Linked DNA regions of Arabidopsis thaliana. The protein of the gene in region 1 interacts with the protein of each later gene in a pairwise test. Each region holds a gene or a part of one and is shown in the gene's direction. Other genes may lie near its edges.

What was found.
Region 2: the proteins of IAA33 (region 1) and ARF10 interact in a two-hybrid assay, tested with the Arabidopsis thaliana proteins (2 studies listed by BioGRID).
Region 3: the proteins of IAA33 (region 1) and ARF16 interact in binary tests that used the Arabidopsis thaliana proteins (3 or more experiments, as listed by UniProt).

The regions. Positions count from the first base shown.
Region 1 is NC_003076.8:23,267,238-23,272,386, forward strand, and holds IAA33 (indole-3-acetic acid inducible 33), read left to right. Parts: upstream 1-2,676; 5' UTR 2,677-2,786; coding exon 2,787-3,223; intron 3,224-3,643; coding exon 3,644-3,722; 3' UTR 3,723-3,855; downstream 3,856-5,149. Other genes in the region: AT5G57410 (Afadin/alpha-actinin-binding protein), read right to left, coding at 62-173, 260-285, 372-404; GS1 (Haloacid dehalogenase-like hydrolase (HAD) superfamily protein), read right to left, coding at 4,281-4,410, 4,487-4,566, 4,667-4,814, 4,917-4,977, 5,087-5,149. UniProt on the Arabidopsis thaliana protein: Aux/IAA proteins are short-lived transcriptional factors that function as repressors of early auxin response genes at low auxin concentrations.
Region 2 is NC_003071.7:12,110,957-12,118,054, forward strand, and holds ARF10 (auxin response factor 10), read left to right. Parts: upstream 1-2,932; 5' UTR 2,933-3,374; coding exon 3,375-4,454; intron 4,455-4,536; coding exon 4,537-5,390; intron 5,391-5,474; coding exon 5,475-5,540; coding exon of another isoform or gene 5,541-5,544; exon of another isoform or gene 5,545-5,627; coding exon 5,628-5,709; 3' UTR 5,710-5,986; downstream 5,987-7,098. UniProt on the Arabidopsis thaliana protein: Auxin response factors (ARFs) are transcriptional factors that bind specifically to the DNA sequence 5'-TGTCTC-3' found in the auxin-responsive promoter elements (AuxREs). Could act as transcriptional activator or repressor.
Region 3 is NC_003075.7:14,701,569-14,708,531, reverse strand, and holds ARF16 (auxin response factor 16), read left to right. Parts: upstream 1-2,177; 5' UTR 2,178-2,354; intron 2,355-2,947; 5' UTR 2,948-2,967; coding exon 2,968-4,053; intron 4,054-4,128; coding exon 4,129-4,985; intron 4,986-5,093; coding exon 5,094-5,163; 3' UTR 5,164-5,467; downstream 5,468-6,963. UniProt on the Arabidopsis thaliana protein: Auxin response factors (ARFs) are transcriptional factors that bind specifically to the DNA sequence 5'-TGTCTC-3' found in the auxin-responsive promoter elements (AuxREs). Could act as transcriptional activator or repressor.

The DNA.
Region 1 (5,149 bases):
AAAACCCTAATTAAAACCCCAAAACATCCAAACAATTTCAGCATCAATAATAAGAACCTACAGGATCATTCGAAAAGAGATCGAGCGAGGCGGGAAATCCAAATGTAACCATCGTCTGATTCAAATACTTCGTACAATGCTCCAAGTTATCCTCATTCGCAAATGTGTAATCCCTTCTCAATCAAAAAAACAAAAATTCCAATCAGTACTCATTGGAGATTTTAAAGTAAACCCTAGGGGGATTAAGAAGAAAACTAACCCTGCTGACGCAGATTGAGATAAAACCTGTGAAGAAGAAACCATAGAATCAGTCAATGGAGCTTGAAATTGAAATTCGATGAGGAAAACAAATCGGAAAACAGTAATCTTACTTTGAGATCGTATTCAGCATCATTCGCCGGCATTTTCGAAACGGCGATGAGAGCTTCCACCTCCGGCGAAAACGGCGGCGTGAGCAAACGATGAAACAGAGAATCAATTCACAGGAACAGATCTAATCTAAGCAGAGAGAGAGAGAGAGCGAAAACAAATTCAAAAATCAAAAATATCTGAAACGGAATGTTTCTGGAGAAGAGCGAAAATAAAAGTTTTTAAAACCTTTTTCACTTTGCTTTTTATTTCAGTAATAATAATCAAAAGGATTTGTTTTTGTGATAATGAGCTTTAAGGAAATGATCCTGTGAAGAGACACCTACTGGCTTCAGTGCTCCTCCACGTGATTTTGACGCGCCAACTGTTTAGGCTTTAAGAGAAGGAAGAATGTGGGCCCATACTGTTTTAATTGGGCCTATTAAGGCTTTATTGAGCTGATGTGTAAGGCCTGTTTAGACTTGTGCTAATGTTGGATGAGCATGACAAAATGATTATCATTGTTTGGTTAGAAACAGACCAAAACAGCGGGTAAGTGTTTGATTGTTATTTAAATTTTGATTATTATCGGGGAGTGGAATAAGCAAACATTAACGTATGTCTGTAGAATCGAAAAAAAACAAAAATCGAGACAAATTAATTAGATGATTAAATATAACATGTAGACGTAGTAATGTGTTAAACTATAGTCCTAAATTGAGATCTATGAAACCGAGGTAAGTTTTAAATATTTCCATGCCTCCATGTCGGATCTTCGAGTCTTCTAATTCGAATCCCGAGTTGAAATTTAAATGTATAGAGTAAATTATTGTTTGCTTCAAACTTAAGAAAATATGCTTCTTGTGCTTCGTTTTATGTCTTCTTGGGTTTGCTTTAGCTTATTCACCTATTGCTTGTTGGATCCACCGTTAATTTTTCATTTAATAGTCCATATGAAAATCAACATTTTAGCATAAAATTACAATTTTAGGCACAGTTATTTGACTCATACATGATTTACCTATACATTTGGTCACTCAACTTAATTATTTGCGATTTTAAAATCGTGTATAATGTTTTAAAATGACTTGAATTGGAATCAACTAATTTTAGGTAGCTCGAACAAACTTGTTATTTATTTATTTTCAGATAAGTTCCGTACACCAAAATCTATAACCGAAAAGACTTTGGATTATATTGTATGAGTTTAGAGTGCAATTCTTCTTTTTTTCCCTCTTTTTTGATCTAAGAAATTTCTAATTAAGTTCACATATTTTCTTGGATCTAATCACTCTAAACAACTCCTCCCAAATAACATGAGTTTTCATTATTATTAGAGGGGTGATGTCTACATTTTGGACCAAGGTCTAATACTTTGTTTTACTTTCGTCAAACCGAGTTAAATCCGAGAAGTATGAGATCAAACGTTAAACGTATTCATGTGTGTGTATGTGATGTTACATGGATAAATGGCTATGCATGTATATTCTATATGACGTTGATGTGTGGTCGTGTGGATATATGCGTGTGTTTACCGGTTAATACAATTTTTATATTCTTCGTATGTATGCTTGATGTGTGTATTAGTGTATGAAAAGAAAATGACGTGGAACTCCCGACCAGGCGCGAGTCAAGGAAGCGAGGCGTTCGGCGACGGCAGCGCGGTCGTCTCCGCAGCCCATGCGTTACAATTTACAAGATCTCTTTTTCTATGATACCTTCTTTCATTATTTAATTAATCACCAATTTATAATGTCTTTAATTAATTTGGAGTTTTCTAGCTAATTCACATTTCTTATTATATTGACTCTTTTTCACTGTTTTTATGTTTTCCCATCAGCTTTCTTTTTGTCCACGTAAACATTTCCAAACATTTTTATTTTAAAATTTCTTTATACTTGTATACATAAATACCTAATACCTTGCTGGTAATATATGGTCAAAATTAGTGAAACCTTGGAACATTTCCTGTAACAGCTCTTATTACTCTCACAGTCGCAGTGATAGATATATAGTAGAATAAGTTAGCAAAATACAATAATTGTAAAAACACATTTAATACATAAGCATGTGAGAACATTTTTACGTGAATCCAATTGTTCATTGAATAATTAAATATTAAATTGATTGTTAATTGAGGATTCATTGTCTAACGAGAAATCCAAAGAGCAGATGTACTTTCAAATTAAATGAAACATTTAAGACAACATTAAACCAAACGAAAATTGAAAAATGAAAAATAAAAGACACCTTTTTGTTTGCCACACAATTTACGCTTTCTCTATCTATTTATATGTACATACATTCACTTTCACCAGAATCTCATCAAACACACAGTCTCTCTCTAGCTTAACAAAAAAACACGAAACACTTTGAGTTCCATGTAAGCGTCCGTTGTCTTCTCTAAGTTACAAAAGCCCTAAAACCCTACTCTCAATATGAATAGTTTCGAGCCACAAAGCCAAGACTCTTTGCAAAGAAGGTTTCATCAAGACAACAGCACCACACAACAACCTCGTGACACCACGACACCTTTCATACCCAAACCGGCTTCCAAAAACCATAATAATAGCAACTCCAGCTCTGGAGCGGCCGGGAGATCATTCCAAGGCTTTGGGCTTAACGTAGAGGACGATCTTGTTTCATCGGTGGTTCCTCCGGTTACGGTTGTGCTAGAGGGACGTTCTATATGTCAACGCATAAGCCTAGACAAGCATGGGAGTTATCAGAGCTTGGCTTCGGCTCTAAGGCAAATGTTTGTCGATGGAGCTGATTCAACGGACGATCTTGATCTGTCAAACGCCATTCCTGGCCATCTTATTGCTTATGAAGACATGGAGAACGATCTCCTTCTTGCCGGAGATCTTACTTGGAAGTAATTTTCCTCCCCTAACATTAATTTTCTTTATTATTGTCAGGATGGCCATATATATACAAACTATATATAAAACGAGCCTTATTTTAAACATAGGAAAACTATATTAATTTTTTTTCCCCTAACGGTAAAATACTACAAACACAAGTTTTTCAAGCTGCCAAGAAAACACATGTTCTCTGCTTTTCTAAAAAGACAAATATCAATAATTTAGTGAAATGATATTTTGTTGCTATCCTTATTCTGTATACTCAATTTTGCTGGCTATAGTTATTTTGTTTGATACCGTTATATATCTTTCTTAAAAATTACGGTTTTCGTTCAATGTTTAGTATAATTAGATTTTGAAGGTTTCGTGATCTTTAACTGGCAATATTTTAATACTTGGACGTTAACGAGAAAATTTGCTTGTTGACACAGGGACTTTGTTCGTGTAGCGAAGAGAATTCGAATCTTGCCGGTCAAGGGAAACACAAGACAAGTTAAAAGAAACGAGTGAGGAGGAGAAAGACCGTTTTTGCAACGATGTCATACGATGTTTTGTAACAGCCGATGTCGGTTGAATCCTAATGGCATTACTGTAAAATCATCATTGGATGTGTTTGCTTCTTTGTTCACGTACGAAATGAAAAATAAAAAAAAAGTTGTAATACTAAATATAACCTATTTTTCTTAATTATAGTGTAAAACATGAAACGTTGCAGTAACAACACATGTTAGTGATGCGTAAAGAAGAGAGATTCCAAACCATAAAGAAGGAATCAATTCAGCTATACCGACAAGAACAAAATAAGATAAGCCAATGTTGAAACTTGTGGGTAAGAGTAGTTGTACAAAAATAATTTGTTTAAACGTTGAGGCAAATTTTTTTGTTTGGTCTCTCGTCATGTCACCACTTAGTTTCTTTTTATGTCTTCAATAGCCAGAAAATCATAGAACCCTTGACGACATAAAGCCTCATGGCCTTTGTCATGTACATGCCAAAACAATATAACAAGACAAAGAATAAGCTTCATGATTTGAGTTTTTATCATTACCTTGAAGACGTTTGTATCGTTTAGTTCGAATCTTCGAATGGAGGCAAGCCCCACTCTTCCGGTTTAAAATCGACTAGAGAGGTTATGATTTGATCTGCAACATCTTGGTGAGAGATATCTAGTCTAGGATCCGGTACCATAACCACGTTCCTGTAGATAGACATCAAGATGTATAAACTTGTTTCTCGGTTTTTATTGGCTTTTACATGAAGAGAAACCCACTTACATTCCGGCGTTTTTAGCAGCAAGAACTCCAGATGGAGCATCTTCAAACACCAGAACCTTTTGTGAATCCACAGGACCGTCCTAAGGAATCCAGACGAAGAGGAAACATTAGTCTACAACTCATTTTAAATATGAACTAGTTAGTAATGGAGAATCTTGGAGACTGTTGCCTGTTAGTTACCTTAAATCTCCTAGCAGCAGCGAGAAACCCGTCAGGAGCAGGCTTTCCTTGCTTCACCTCTGGATCATCACCACGAACTACGTGATGCATCAATGAGAAAAGCTCTCTGTGTCTTTGGGTTTTCAGATCATAATGCCGTGTGTGAGTACTGCAAGCGTACAATCAAACATAACAAGTCAGTTTCTGGATTGTAAAGGACAATGAGAATGCAAACTAAATGGTATATTATGAGATGAGGTGAAGAGATTACCCGGTAGCAATACATATTGGAATATTCTTTACATGGAGATGCTTAATGAGTCTACTAGCCCCTGAAAATGTGGAAGAGAATTGGTTCATGACCACATCAAAAACATAAATATCCGTACATGTAATCTTCCTGTGAACCAAATGTCATGTGTTACAAAAAGCAGAATCTACCTGGCATGAGCTCACTAGTAGGGAAAAGGTCTTGCAACATTGACTCTCTCTCGACAAGAAAGT
Region 2 (7,098 bases), on another chromosome or scaffold:
AAAATATTAAATAATTTAAACTTTACATAAAAATGCTACAACACATCTAATAAAATAAAACATCTAATTTTGAACAGAGGGGGTGTTCAATCGATCCCTGAAAAACAAATTTCTCTACAAGTTTGGGTATAGAAAAATATTGTGAATGTTAAAGAGAAAACCATTAATTGTTTGTATGTGTGATTAAAGCTTTCCTTTATGCATAGACAGCTTAAAAATAAATAGACCATTAAGCATAGATCAGGAAAGGTAATGTAATAGAGTTTGGGAAAGGAGTTTAATATTTTTTTAACAAACAAATAAGAAAAGAAAAAAAACAAGTTGAAGATAGGATAGGGAGGAGTCATAGGACCAATGGACCATTCATAGATCATAATGCAAGACAACCCACCAACACATTATTCACCATTCTAATTTTGTGTTGCTTCTTTCTAGCCATGTCAAGTCCACATATTAATTATATATGCATTTTATATACACATTTACATGTATACCAGTGTGTGTATTCGAGATAAGATGAAAAAGTATATGGCTGAAATACACTTGAAAGACAAAGAAACTGTGTGTCTTGTCGATGATTTTATGTTTTTTTCAGAAGTCATGCATTAATTGATCCTTTTGTTTTCTTCTTCCCTCCTGGTCCATTTATTCTCTATTAACTATTTTTTGTTTGCTCATTCTTTGAAAACGAACTTAAACAATATTTTATTTACATTTTACGTTAGAATAGTCATGTGATTTATCTCTTAAAATTCACAAGTAGACAAAAAAAATTAGTTACTTCGTTTCATATAAGGTCAATAGAAGTAAGGTCAATAGAAGTAATACATACTTAAGTTGTCTGTTTAGTGTTTGTATAGTTAAAAAGGAGTAAATTTATTACCTACATACGACTATTTTTTTTCAAACTTTTTAATATCAAAACAAGGGACGAATATTAATATAGTTCGTATGAATCCTTTATCGTTGAATGTGACTTAATTATAGAAGATAATAATAGTTCCAATTTATTAATATTGTAGCTAATATTCTCAAATAAAAATAATTGTTGTAGAGACAAAAAGAGATTCGTGTATTTTTTTAACTTATCATTTTTGAAGTTAAGATAGAAAAACATAACTGAAAACCCATGTAAAGCTGTTTTGTGACTAATCTGTTTTGCGAATCTACTTTTAAAAAAACATATTTTTCACAATCAAACACAAATGCAAAATTAGTTTTTTTGTTCTTTTTTCGGAACGACTTAAAGTTTTAAACTGGAAGCAGAAAAATTGACGTTATGCCTCACCTAAGAACAAAACTTAGGCCTTAGATGGAAATCTTTTTAATTTGGACTTTAAGAGTTATTATTCTTCGATGGTAGAAGTTTTTGGTTGAGTTATATAATTAATTTCTAATATTCTAATGAAGTTAGTAAGCTATACTTCCTTATATTACTTTTGTTTGAAGCAAAAAAAACACAAATTTGTTTTTATTATTCAACTAAAATAGACAACGTACGAGGAAAATCTAGTTTTCAAAATATAAAGAAACAGATTTTCTAGATTTTATGAAACTAATTTCTAAAGATGAGACACAAATTTTGAATTATTTCTAACTATACAGAAGGATAAATACAACAAAAACACTTACCAATCAACGTTTAAAATTGTTATGAGTAAATATAATTTGATGGTAAAATAGTTGCAGAGAAAAAAGGACCAATATACGGATGAGTTGGGTATGTCGTGTCAGGTTATAATTGGATAATATTGATCCGACAAAACAATCGACGAGTACAAAACTTCAACGAACTCACTCACACTCCAATCTCCACAATCCCTTTTTAACAGCCGCGTTTTCATCTCTCGGGTCAACCCCCTTCTCCTACTCCCACGTACGTTTTATCCCCACTTTTATGACGTCATTTTACACAACTCATAATTATTCTTTTTTTCCTTCCTAAATAATTATTTATCCGTAATTCTATTTTTTTTTTTCATCAAACATTAGCTTTGTTATTGACGAGCGGTGACATAGTCACGATGAAGAAGATCAGTAATTACATGTGGAACGAAAGCATAAAAATAAAAGAGGTTGTTCAAAGGAATATGTTGTTTTGCTAAAGTATCTGCCACCATATTCGAGCATCTCCGTAATTCTTTCAAAGTTGTGGATCATAATCCATTTTCTTTAGTTTCCTTTTTTCATTAATTGATTTTGAAATTAAAAATCTTTCTAGAAGAAATTTTTATTTTTAAAAAGTTTGACTCCAGAATTTAACTTTAAATCTAAATGAACACTTTATGAAGAAGAAAACCAATAGTCAACTAATGAATATTTTTATTTTATTTATACTTTTGTGTGAAAATTATCAAAAGAAAATTTATTGTGAAATGAGGTGAAATGAGGGAATAATATGCAACTATTTATTTTTCATTTAAATAAAAAGAAACATTTGCATGGGTTAAAAATATCATAGTTTTTACCCCAGTGTAGTACAAAAAAGGACTGTTTATTTGGCATCTAATTTCAACATCATATAATTTACCATGGGTTTAACCTATTTCTTGTTTTACCACAATCGTGTAATGGAACCCATCTTTCACTAACGGGCAAAAAAAAGAGTCAAAGTGAAAAGCAGAAAGTAAAAAAAAAAAGATAAAAAAGATTTAACCATGGTTAGGTTTGTATCTGGTCAAGCATGGTTTCTGATTTTTCGAGTAAAAAATCAAAAATTTGTTGGTACATGTCAAATTATCGCGGCTCGTGATACGATAAATTGCTAATTTTATTATTATTAGTGAAGCAACAAATGAAACAAACAAGTTAGTTGCAGTTTTTTTTAATCAAACAAAAAAACAAAATTTATTTATCTTGAAAACAATTTATTATATATTATTTATATTAAAAAAATGAAAAATAAAAAGAGTTATAAAGTTTGTGTTTGAGATAATCTCTCTGGTTTGTTTGGTTCTTGTTTCTGTATACATCATTACTAAAGAGAAAAACAAGATGTTTATTTATTACGATGGTCTTGTCCGTACCTGATTATAGCATCTCTCTCTATCTCTCTCTTCTTCTTCTACGATCTGATCAGCCATTAAAGCTTTTTCCCCCTTCACTATTATACCTCTTTTGAAGTGAAACAAAATCATAAAAGTCGAAACTTTACTGTTTCCTCTGCAAATTTAAACTCTAATCTCTCTCTCTCTCTCTATCTCTTTCACTTCGCTTTCTCTATTTCCCCTGAAACCGTTCTTGTCTCTCTCTCTCTCTCTCTCTCTCTTCTTCTCTGCTCAAGACAAGAACTTGATGTTCATGTCTTGAAACTTAACAAAGTATTGATCTTTCCTTTTAAGTAAAGAATTTGGGGGTTACACAACTTCGTCTAGATGGAGCAAGAGAAAAGCTTGGATCCACAACTATGGCATGCTTGTGCAGGATCAATGGTTCAAATCCCTTCACTGAATTCAACGGTTTTTTACTTCGCTCAAGGCCACACAGAGCACGCTCACGCGCCTCCTGATTTTCACGCGCCGCGCGTTCCACCTCTTATCCTCTGTCGTGTCGTCTCCGTGAAGTTCCTCGCCGACGCTGAAACAGACGAAGTTTTTGCTAAAATTACGCTTTTGCCACTTCCGGGAAACGACTTGGATCTAGAAAACGACGCCGTTTTGGGTCTAACTCCTCCTTCTTCTGACGGTAACGGTAACGGTAAAGAGAAACCGGCGTCTTTCGCTAAAACGTTAACGCAGTCTGACGCTAATAACGGCGGTGGTTTCTCCGTTCCACGTTATTGCGCCGAGACGATTTTCCCGCGGCTTGATTACTCGGCGGAGCCACCGGTTCAAACCGTGATTGCTAAAGACATCCACGGCGAGACTTGGAAATTCCGGCATATTTACAGAGGAACACCTCGCCGTCATCTCCTAACCACCGGTTGGAGCACTTTCGTTAACCAGAAGAAACTAATCGCCGGAGACTCAATCGTCTTCCTCCGTTCTGAATCCGGTGACCTCTGCGTCGGAATCCGCCGCGCTAAACGCGGCGGTCTCGGATCTAACGCAGGATCCGACAATCCTTACCCTGGATTCTCCGGTTTCCTCCGTGACGACGAGTCAACAACAACAACATCGAAGCTAATGATGATGAAACGCAACGGAAACAACGACGGAAACGCCGCGGCTACAGGGAGGGTTAGAGTAGAAGCAGTAGCGGAAGCGGTGGCGCGTGCAGCGTGTGGACAAGCGTTTGAGGTTGTTTATTATCCACGCGCTAGTACACCGGAGTTTTGCGTAAAAGCAGCTGATGTTAGATCAGCAATGAGGATAAGATGGTGTAGTGGTATGCGTTTTAAAATGGCGTTTGAAACAGAGGATTCTTCTAGAATCAGTTGGTTTATGGGTACTGTCTCCGCCGTTCAAGTCGCTGATCCAATTCGTTGGCCTAATTCACCATGGCGTCTCCTTCAGGTTAGTTAGTTACTCAAAGTCTCTTCCTTTTAACAGAATCCATGTTTGTTTGTTAATGTTACGGTTATATTGGTTGTTATAGGTAGCTTGGGACGAACCGGATTTGTTACAAAACGTTAAGCGGGTTAGTCCGTGGTTAGTCGAATTGGTATCGAACATGCCTACAATACATTTATCTCCATTCTCTCCGAGGAAGAAGATTAGGATTCCGCAGCCATTTGAGTTTCCATTCCACGGTACTAAATTCCCGATTTTCTCCCCGGGATTCGCCAACAATGGCGGTGGCGAGTCCATGTGTTATCTGTCAAACGACAACAATAATGCTCCTGCAGGAATACAGGGAGCCAGGCAAGCTCAACAACTCTTCGGATCACCATCTCCGTCTTTGTTGTCTGATCTCAATCTTAGTAGTTACACCGGTAACAACAAGTTACATTCTCCGGCGATGTTTCTATCGAGTTTCAACCCGAGGCATCATCATTATCAGGCTAGGGATAGTGAGAATAGTAATAACATTTCGTGTTCTTTAACTATGGGGAATCCTGCTATGGTTCAGGATAAGAAGAAGTCTGTTGGTTCGGTTAAGACTCATCAGTTCGTGTTGTTCGGTCAACCGATTTTAACCGAACAGCAAGTTATGAACCGAAAACGGTTTTTGGAAGAAGAGGCGGAAGCGGAGGAGGAGAAAGGTTTAGTGGCTCGTGGGTTAACATGGAATTATAGTTTGCAAGGACTTGAGACGGGTCATTGTAAAGTTTTCATGGAATCTGAGGATGTTGGACGCACACTCGATCTCTCGGTTATTGGCTCGTACCAAGAATTGTACCGGAAATTGGCTGAGATGTTTCATATAGAAGAGAGGTCGGATTTGTTGACTCATGTTGTGTACCGGGATGCAAATGGTGTTATCAAACGTATTGGAGACGAACCTTTCAGGTAAAAATCTCAAAAGAATTCTTTCAATTAACCGTTTGTTTGCGATTATCGTCATTTGATTGATTAACCGGTTTAAAAATGCAGTGATTTCATGAAAGCAACTAAACGGCTAACAATCAAGATGGATATTGGTGGCGACAACGTGAGAAAGTAAGTCTATCTCAAGCTCACATTTCGGGTTTGATTATATACCGATTGGAATACCGAGTTTAGTTTGCTTTTTTCGGGTTTGCATAGGACGTGGATAACCGGAATCAGGACTGGTGAAAATGGTATAGACGCTTCTACGAAGACTGGTCCGCTCAGCATCTTCGCTTGAACTTGAAGCATATTGAGGAATAAGCAGTGGCCTTTGTTTTGAACCTAATTTTATTTCTGTCTTTAATTCTCTTTTTTCCCTATTTTAAATCCTTTTTTTGCTGGTCTTTTGTGTGTAACAAACCATTCCCAAGTGTTACCAAAAGTACTCTAATTGGTATTTGAATTTATTTGTTTTGGTTGCAAGTTGTATATGATAATCAAAGAACCTGCCATATCACTTGGTAATACCTAGCAAAAGCTAAATTTGAAGAAGAGACTATTATGAGTAAAATGTGTGTATTATGGTTCACTTCTACGAATAGTATATAAAAATTGCTTACATATAATTTCACATTTTGGGTGTTGAACTATGAACTAAGTAACAAAAAGCCTATATCATTCAATTCTCTTTAATGGAAACAAATTTTCCTATTAAATTTGTTTTTGTAGCTTGTTAGCTAACTTTTTTGTAAGATAAAAGTGGAAATTATTTTGTCTTGTTAGCTAACTTTTTTTTTTGTGCTAGCTACTGTTAGCTAAATTATTGTTTCAAAAGCTTCCCTAAACTGTTGGTTATTTTTATATTATTGTTTTACATATTTCTTGTAAGAGAATATTCACCAATAAATTTCACTCACCGATACTTTAATGGAATTTTCCTGCAAGAAAATAAATAAATATTAATTGTCCATCGGATCTACATGAATTTCATAATTTGGTCTCCTCCTTCACTGCCTCCATATTTAATTAGTTCAATCAATAGCAGAGGAAGATCTATTAAATATTTGGTTTAAGATACCTTCATTTGTACTTAAAGTTAGTTGCTTTGAAAATTAACCACATACTATTTTATTCACACACACGTACGTTTATACAACTTTCTGCTGAGAACAAGAAATTGAATCTTTAAAAATCGACAGAAACAGAAAATGATTATAATATCTACAATGTTTCATGGGATATGTTTTACTTTTACTCACAGGTTACTTGGAATCTATTTACTTATGTATTAATCTATATATATAAATTGTTATCGAATCTCTATCATAAGTTCATACATATTACCAAATCTTGATGGCTTTTAGATCTATAATCCTCTTCTTTTGATCGTTTATATTACAGTTTAATTTGACGAGACAACATAATTAGTGAAATTTGGGGAAGATAATTAGAAAAAAATTAAAGAAAGGATTTGGGGATCTGAAATGAGGAAAACATGACAGCAAAAACTTGACTGTCTCGGTGAAGATGTCGAAAAAGTCAAAGGAGAAGTCATGAGCTCGAAATTGAAGAAAAAAGAACACAACATTACCCACTGGGTCCCTCACATGACATTGTCTAGGTCCATCCATCTCACGTGCGGTCCCATTTCTGCCGCCGTTTTGGTGCTTGTGCCCTCTTCGTCTCA
Region 3 (6,963 bases), on another chromosome or scaffold:
ATTTCATGTCTTTATATGTCTTCTCCTTTATAGGTCGCTTTTCATTTACGCTCTTTCTTGTTTTTAGCTTTCATTTCTCTTTTTAGCTTTTATTTTATCATTCTGTTTTTTTTCTTTTGTCCAAACTATTTTTCAAATTTTTTATCAAATCCATTATATGTGAATAAAATAAAAACCATAAACCCAAATAATTGAATGGAACAAACAAACTAAAATGTATAAATTGAAAAATAAAACAAGCAAGAAATATTGGCGAGCATTTCCATTTCCGTCATGTCTCGTTGCTGTCTATAAATAATTTTTTCTTTTTAAGAAATTTGTTTCGTCCAGTTCTCGCAAAATCCCAAATTGTGGTTTGCCAACCCCTAAAAATATAACATGATTATTAGTAGATTGAGTTCACATGCCCAAGTTTTTCCAAAAGTTAGCCCAAATCTAAATTACATTATTAACGACACTTGTGGTCATGAGGAACATCGATAAACATAGAAGGTGTAACCACTAAGGAGTATTACATGCAAATGTGGTAACCAAAATCTGAAGGAATAATAAGAGGACAATTAGATCAGATCCGGTGGTTTAAGATTCAAATACCGAATTTGCCCTTGTGACATGTAAATTATTACTGGATTAACATAAATGGAGACACACGTAATAACTATTGACAAGGAAAGTATGTGGTATTGACCAAACAACACACATACACAGACACACTTCAAACTTAACCATGGTTACTCACACGTGATATGTCCTCCGGTTAAATATGTTTTCATTATCATTGTTAATTATTATTTTCTTATTATCACATTCCCATATATTAAAAGATTTTAGTGTTATCTAAAATAATTTCAGATTATAATTTCAGTTTCATAATTCCAATCTTGAAAATTTTGGTTCTTATACTTGTGTATATAATTGGATATTGGATTTTTGTTTACGTATGGCCTAGATCAAACTCTTGGTATTATTAATTGGAAAGCTAACTCTTACGACAAAAAAATACAATGACACATGCGGAAATTTATTGAGCCTTGCTACGATCATGTAGGATTGACATATGTATGTCGTATCTCTATCTTATTTGGATATATAGGGTATAGTCATATCAGAGAAATTTTCTAAAATGTTTTCTTAGGATCCTTAAATTATATTTTAAAAGGATTATCTAAGTCTCCTGATTTCCTATGAATTGGTTCGCAACCTACGAAAAAACTATGGGATCAAAAGCAAAAAATTCTAAGTTTTTTTTTCAACTTTGGTAAATTTTAACATAAATAGTTAGATGTTTATCTCCCTTCATTCCTTTTTGAAACCAATAATTTTAATCTTCCTTTCACTTACCATTTAGAAAAACACACGAAACTATGTTTTTTGTTTTTAAAAATATGTGTACCTCATATATATGCTGCATGTACAGCCTTTATACGTCTATATGCAGTTGTGTATTTCATATAATTATACTATACAAATAGAACATAAAATAGAACTATAGTTATTTACAACACAATATATATATATATATACAGCTGTATAATGTATTTTAGAATACTAGTCTGGGCCAATCAAACGGGAATATAAAAACCCGAGGTAGAATTTTATTTTTACATCGTTTAAACACAAAGAAAGATGGTTAGCAACAGCAAATTGCTTACATGGTTATCAACAAAATATCGTGTTTCGTAAACAATAAGTTAAAAATAATTCAATGAACTATTGGGATTATCAAATCAAACTGTAAAAATTAGTTTATTCAAAGAACAATTAATGGCTGAGTTAATTAGCTTGCCTTGAATTGTTAAATAATTAGATGCTTCTAATCAGATTTCAAGGAGATATGTCGGAAGCACCGACGACACGTGCGGATCCGTCACGTGCGCGATTCAACTCTTTAACTCGTATGTCGATATTTCTTTTTTTAATTCTCTTCTTTTTTCACACTCCATATTGTCGATTTTTATGCCCGGAATCAAGGGTTTGACTTACCAAATTGTTACCTTCTTTTAGGCTTAAAATTTATTACACTTAAAATAATCCGGATTAATATTTTCTAAAAAATTCACTAACTAGAGAAGAAATAATAATAAAAAAGACATGTGAAAGAGTTAATGAAAGTTGAGAAAAAAGAGATAATATTATTTTTATTTTATTTTTAGTTTTGTTTTTCTGCAGAAGAGCCAAAGCTCTTTCCTTCATATATACGAACCCCTTTTTCCATTTTCTTTGTGCAAAAAGTGTAACCTTCCTTATCCGATTCTGAAGCAGAAATTAGCTGCAGAATCTTCAGATTCTCTCTATACCTAGATTGGTTTTTCACAGAATCTTCGCTATTTTGTTCAGATCTGCCACTGTTTCAGGTTTGAACTAATTTTACATAAATTTTCTCTCCTAATCTTTCTCTGTTTCATCTTTGGTTTTCTCAATCGATTCGATATGAATTTGATTTGGTTTAGCTTGATTCGATTTGATCATCATGTCTAACTAGTTCTATCTAACTTTGTTAGTTTACTGTTCTTTTGTGTGGTTCTTGTTCTTACTTCAGACCGATCTATGTTTTTTTTGCTTTGTCTGCTTCACACAACACAATCGTGAGCTTGCTCTTATGAAAATCTAATCTAACTAAATTTTCTTAATTTGTGGTCTTTTTAATTTCATAATGGATTAATAAACTAAATATCCTCAAAACGTTCTTGAAGTTTTATAATTTGTATTTTTTGTTTTCTCCGGAGATTTGGTATTTGAAATCTTCTTACTATCTGAAATGACCCTTTTTGTCGGTTTTTCTTGAATCTTTTTATTTATTTTTATTTTCCGGGAAAATTTCGTTTGTTAGGTAAAGTTGACTGATACAAAGGACTTGAGTTGCTAAATAAAAAGCATTTGTATTGTGCTTTTGTTTGGTTACTCTGTTCTCAAACAAAAGCTGATACATTTGTATTTGTTGTTGCAGCAAAAACGGTCACAAAAAATATGATAAATGTGATGAATCCAATGAAAGGTGGAACAGAGAAAGGTTTAGATCCTCAGCTATGGCATGCATGTGCTGGTGGTATGGTTCGTATGCCTCCTATGAACTCTAAAGTCTTTTACTTTCCTCAAGGTCACGCCGAAAACGCTTACGATTGTGTCGATTTCGGTAATCTCCCTATTCCTCCCATGGTTTTGTGTCGTGTTTTAGCCATTAAGTATATGGCTGATGCTGAATCTGACGAGGTTTTCGCTAAACTGAGATTGATTCCTTTGAAAGATGATGAGTATGTTGATCACGAGTATGGTGATGGTGAAGATAGTAACGGTTTCGAGAGTAATAGTGAGAAAACGCCTTCGTTTGCTAAGACTTTGACTCAGTCTGATGCTAATAACGGTGGGGGTTTCTCTGTTCCTCGTTATTGCGCTGAGACGATTTTCCCGAGGTTGGATTATAACGCCGAGCCGCCGGTTCAGACCATTCTTGCTAAGGATGTTCATGGTGATGTTTGGAAGTTCAGACATATTTATAGAGGGACGCCTCGGCGTCACCTTCTTACAACCGGATGGAGTAATTTTGTAAACCAGAAGAAGCTTGTGGCGGGAGATTCGATTGTCTTCATGAGAGCGGAGAATGGAGATCTTTGTGTAGGTATTAGGAGGGCTAAGAGAGGAGGGATAGGTAATGGACCCGAATATTCAGCGGGTTGGAATCCGATCGGTGGAAGTTGCGGCTACTCTTCTCTGTTAAGGGAAGATGAAAGCAATAGTTTGAGGAGAAGTAATTGTTCCCTTGCGGATAGGAAGGGGAAAGTGACGGCTGAATCTGTTATAGAAGCAGCCACTCTTGCTATTAGCGGAAGACCGTTTGAGGTTGTGTACTATCCGAGAGCTAGCACTTCAGAGTTTTGTGTCAAGGCATTAGATGCTCGAGCTGCCATGCGGATTCCGTGGTGCTCAGGTATGAGGTTTAAGATGGCTTTTGAGACAGAGGATTCGTCTCGGATAAGTTGGTTTATGGGGACTGTTTCAGCTGTTAATGTCTCTGATCCTATCCGTTGGCCTAACTCTCCTTGGCGGCTTCTACAGGTAAACAAACACTCAAAATTTTCTTCTAGCTCAAGTTAGAATATAGACTCATAGGTTGCATTTTTGTGTTTTCAGGTGGCGTGGGATGAGCCAGATTTACTCCAAAACGTGAAGCGAGTTAACCCGTGGTTGGTGGAATTGGTATCAAACGTACATCCGATCCCGCTTACTTCGTTTTCGCCACCGAGGAAAAAGATGCGGCTACCTCAGCATCCAGATTACAACAATCTGATCAATTCGATTCCAGTACCTTCATTCCCAAGCAATCCCCTTATTAGATCAAGCCCGTTAAGCTCTGTTCTGGACAATGTTCCCGTGGGTTTACAGGGAGCCAGGCATAATGCTCATCAGTACTACGGGTTATCATCTTCGGATCTTCACCATTACTACTTGAATAGACCACCTCCTCCTCCTCCTCCATCCTCTCTCCAACTTTCTCCTTCTCTCGGTCTCCGAAACATCGATACCAAAAACGAAAAAGGATTTTGCTTTTTGACAATGGGAACAACACCATGCAATGATACCAAATCTAAAAAGTCCCATATTGTATTGTTCGGCAAGCTTATACTACCCGAGGAACAGCTATCAGAAAAAGGCTCAACGGATACCGCAAACATAGAGAAAACGCAGATTTCATCAGGCGGGTCGAACCAAAACGGCGTTGCGGGAAGGGAGTTTTCTTCGTCAGATGAAGGATCACCTTGCTCTAAGAAAGTTCATGATGCATCAGGTTTGGAAACAGGGCATTGTAAAGTGTTTATGGAGTCAGACGATGTAGGTCGAACCTTAGACCTATCGGTTCTTGGTTCATACGAAGAATTGAGTCGGAAACTCTCTGACATGTTTGGAATCAAAAAGTCTGAGATGTTAAGCTCTGTTCTCTATAGGGATGCATCAGGAGCCATCAAATACGCAGGAAACGAACCTTTCAGGTACATTTTTTTATTATAGACAAGATTGTCATATTTTTCGTACTATTTTGATGATGAAGTAAAAGAAAACATCTAATAGTTGTTGGTGTTTTGACTCATCTTTGGCAGTGAGTTCTTGAAGACAGCTCGAAGATTGACAATTCTGACGGAACAAGGAAGTGAGAGCGTTGTAGTATAACTTGGCAGAGTGTTTTGTTGGAGCTTGGAAGTCAAAACTCAACGATTGAATCTTTTAAGTTTTTTTTTTCTTTTATTTGTTTATTTTAGTTCCACTTTTTTGGATTATGTAAGTTTCAAAATGCAATTCACAATCTATTTGCAAATAAAATAGGTTCTTCTTCCCTTGAAAAGCTTCATTGATCAAATAGGGTATAAGAACCAAAGTCTAGACGGCAAATTATGATATGTTTGTCAAAGTCACTTCAATTTGTCTACAAATTAGTGATGACACGCATAAACCAATAGGCCTCAAACATGGTTGCATTGCTTACTTTGATTCATTATGTAATATATAAAGTGATTTTTCTTTAAATATTTCATTATTTGTTTCTTGGGATCAATAAGTTGTTGAGAGGTATGAAAAGTAATAAAAATCTGGAAGACAATTAGTTAGGGTGATGCGAGGGTCATGTCTCTAGGCACATGCACAACAAACAACGGTCGGATCCTATGTTTGACAAAACACAAAGTCCTCAACACCTAAGTTAAGTTGGATCTCCCACTTTTCATTTATAACTCAAAACTATATATATATTTAAAAGATTTTCAGATTCCAATGTATACACAACGAAAATTCCATATCATCTTCAACCTACTAATTATAAATGTACAACGAAAGTACTCTATATTCGCTTCTCGGTTCTCAAAGTCAATGAAGTTCTAAACTCACTTTTTCTCTGCTTATTTAATGTAAAAAGACCAAAAGTTCTAGCCCTTTTTACTTTCTAGTCTTTAATCTTATATAAAACCATACTCACTTTTTCTGTTCCAACCTAATGTCCTATAATGTTCCAATCTCAAGTCTTAATCATGATAGATTTGTAAAAATGTTTTTGTAAAATGACTTGTCCACTCTCAGACCTAATCTGACGACGCTTCTAGACATCAATACAAAAATGAATATGACTTGAGAGTGATGGACATCATGAAATGTGTAAATAGACGAAAGGGAGATATTTTAAATCCAGTTACATGTCATGATTAGAGTTAATATAAATTGAACCAAAACTCAATTATTGTAGCTTAAGAGAGAGTATGAACATTGTATACAAAAATAGATACACACATAAATTAATTGCATATCTGAATAAATCAAAAGTTTAGGAGTTTACATTAATCAAAAGTGATTGTGACAACTCTACGTATGAAGTTGACTCTTGAACCACACATGTTCAGAATTCACAATCCCAACAAGATCATAAGAGAAAACAAACAGCAAAATGAGAGATACATGGGGTAGTCTTGATTTGGATTAATCATTTAATTAATCAAAGTAGTCAAGTTAATCAACTGGCGATCATAATATATATGTTAATTATTAGGACAAAATACTTAGGGTTTTGCAACAAAACTATTGTTAACCATGGTTGAGTACTTGAGTTAAGACGATATCGACAGAAACAAGTGTGACAAAAGTCAAAGAGGAGAAGCGACAGAGTAGCGAACGTTGTGGCACTTTGAATACTATTTTTTATGTAAAATAAACAAATAATTTTTCTTAAATAATAGATTTAAAAAGTAAAAAAAAGAGGACAAGAGAATTAAAAAGAGGCACGAGGTAGACAAAGATTCGTGAGGCAAGGAAATGCCAACTCGAAGGCCTTTCTTTACGTGAAGAAACATCAATGCATGTGTCCTCTTCATATTCACAATTACACTTAAATCTGTCATTGTCTTTCCTTTCACGTTCTTTTTCCACGTGTCCATACTTTCATTTTTTTTTTACACAATCGAGCTCTCTCTTTTTTTTTCTATACCC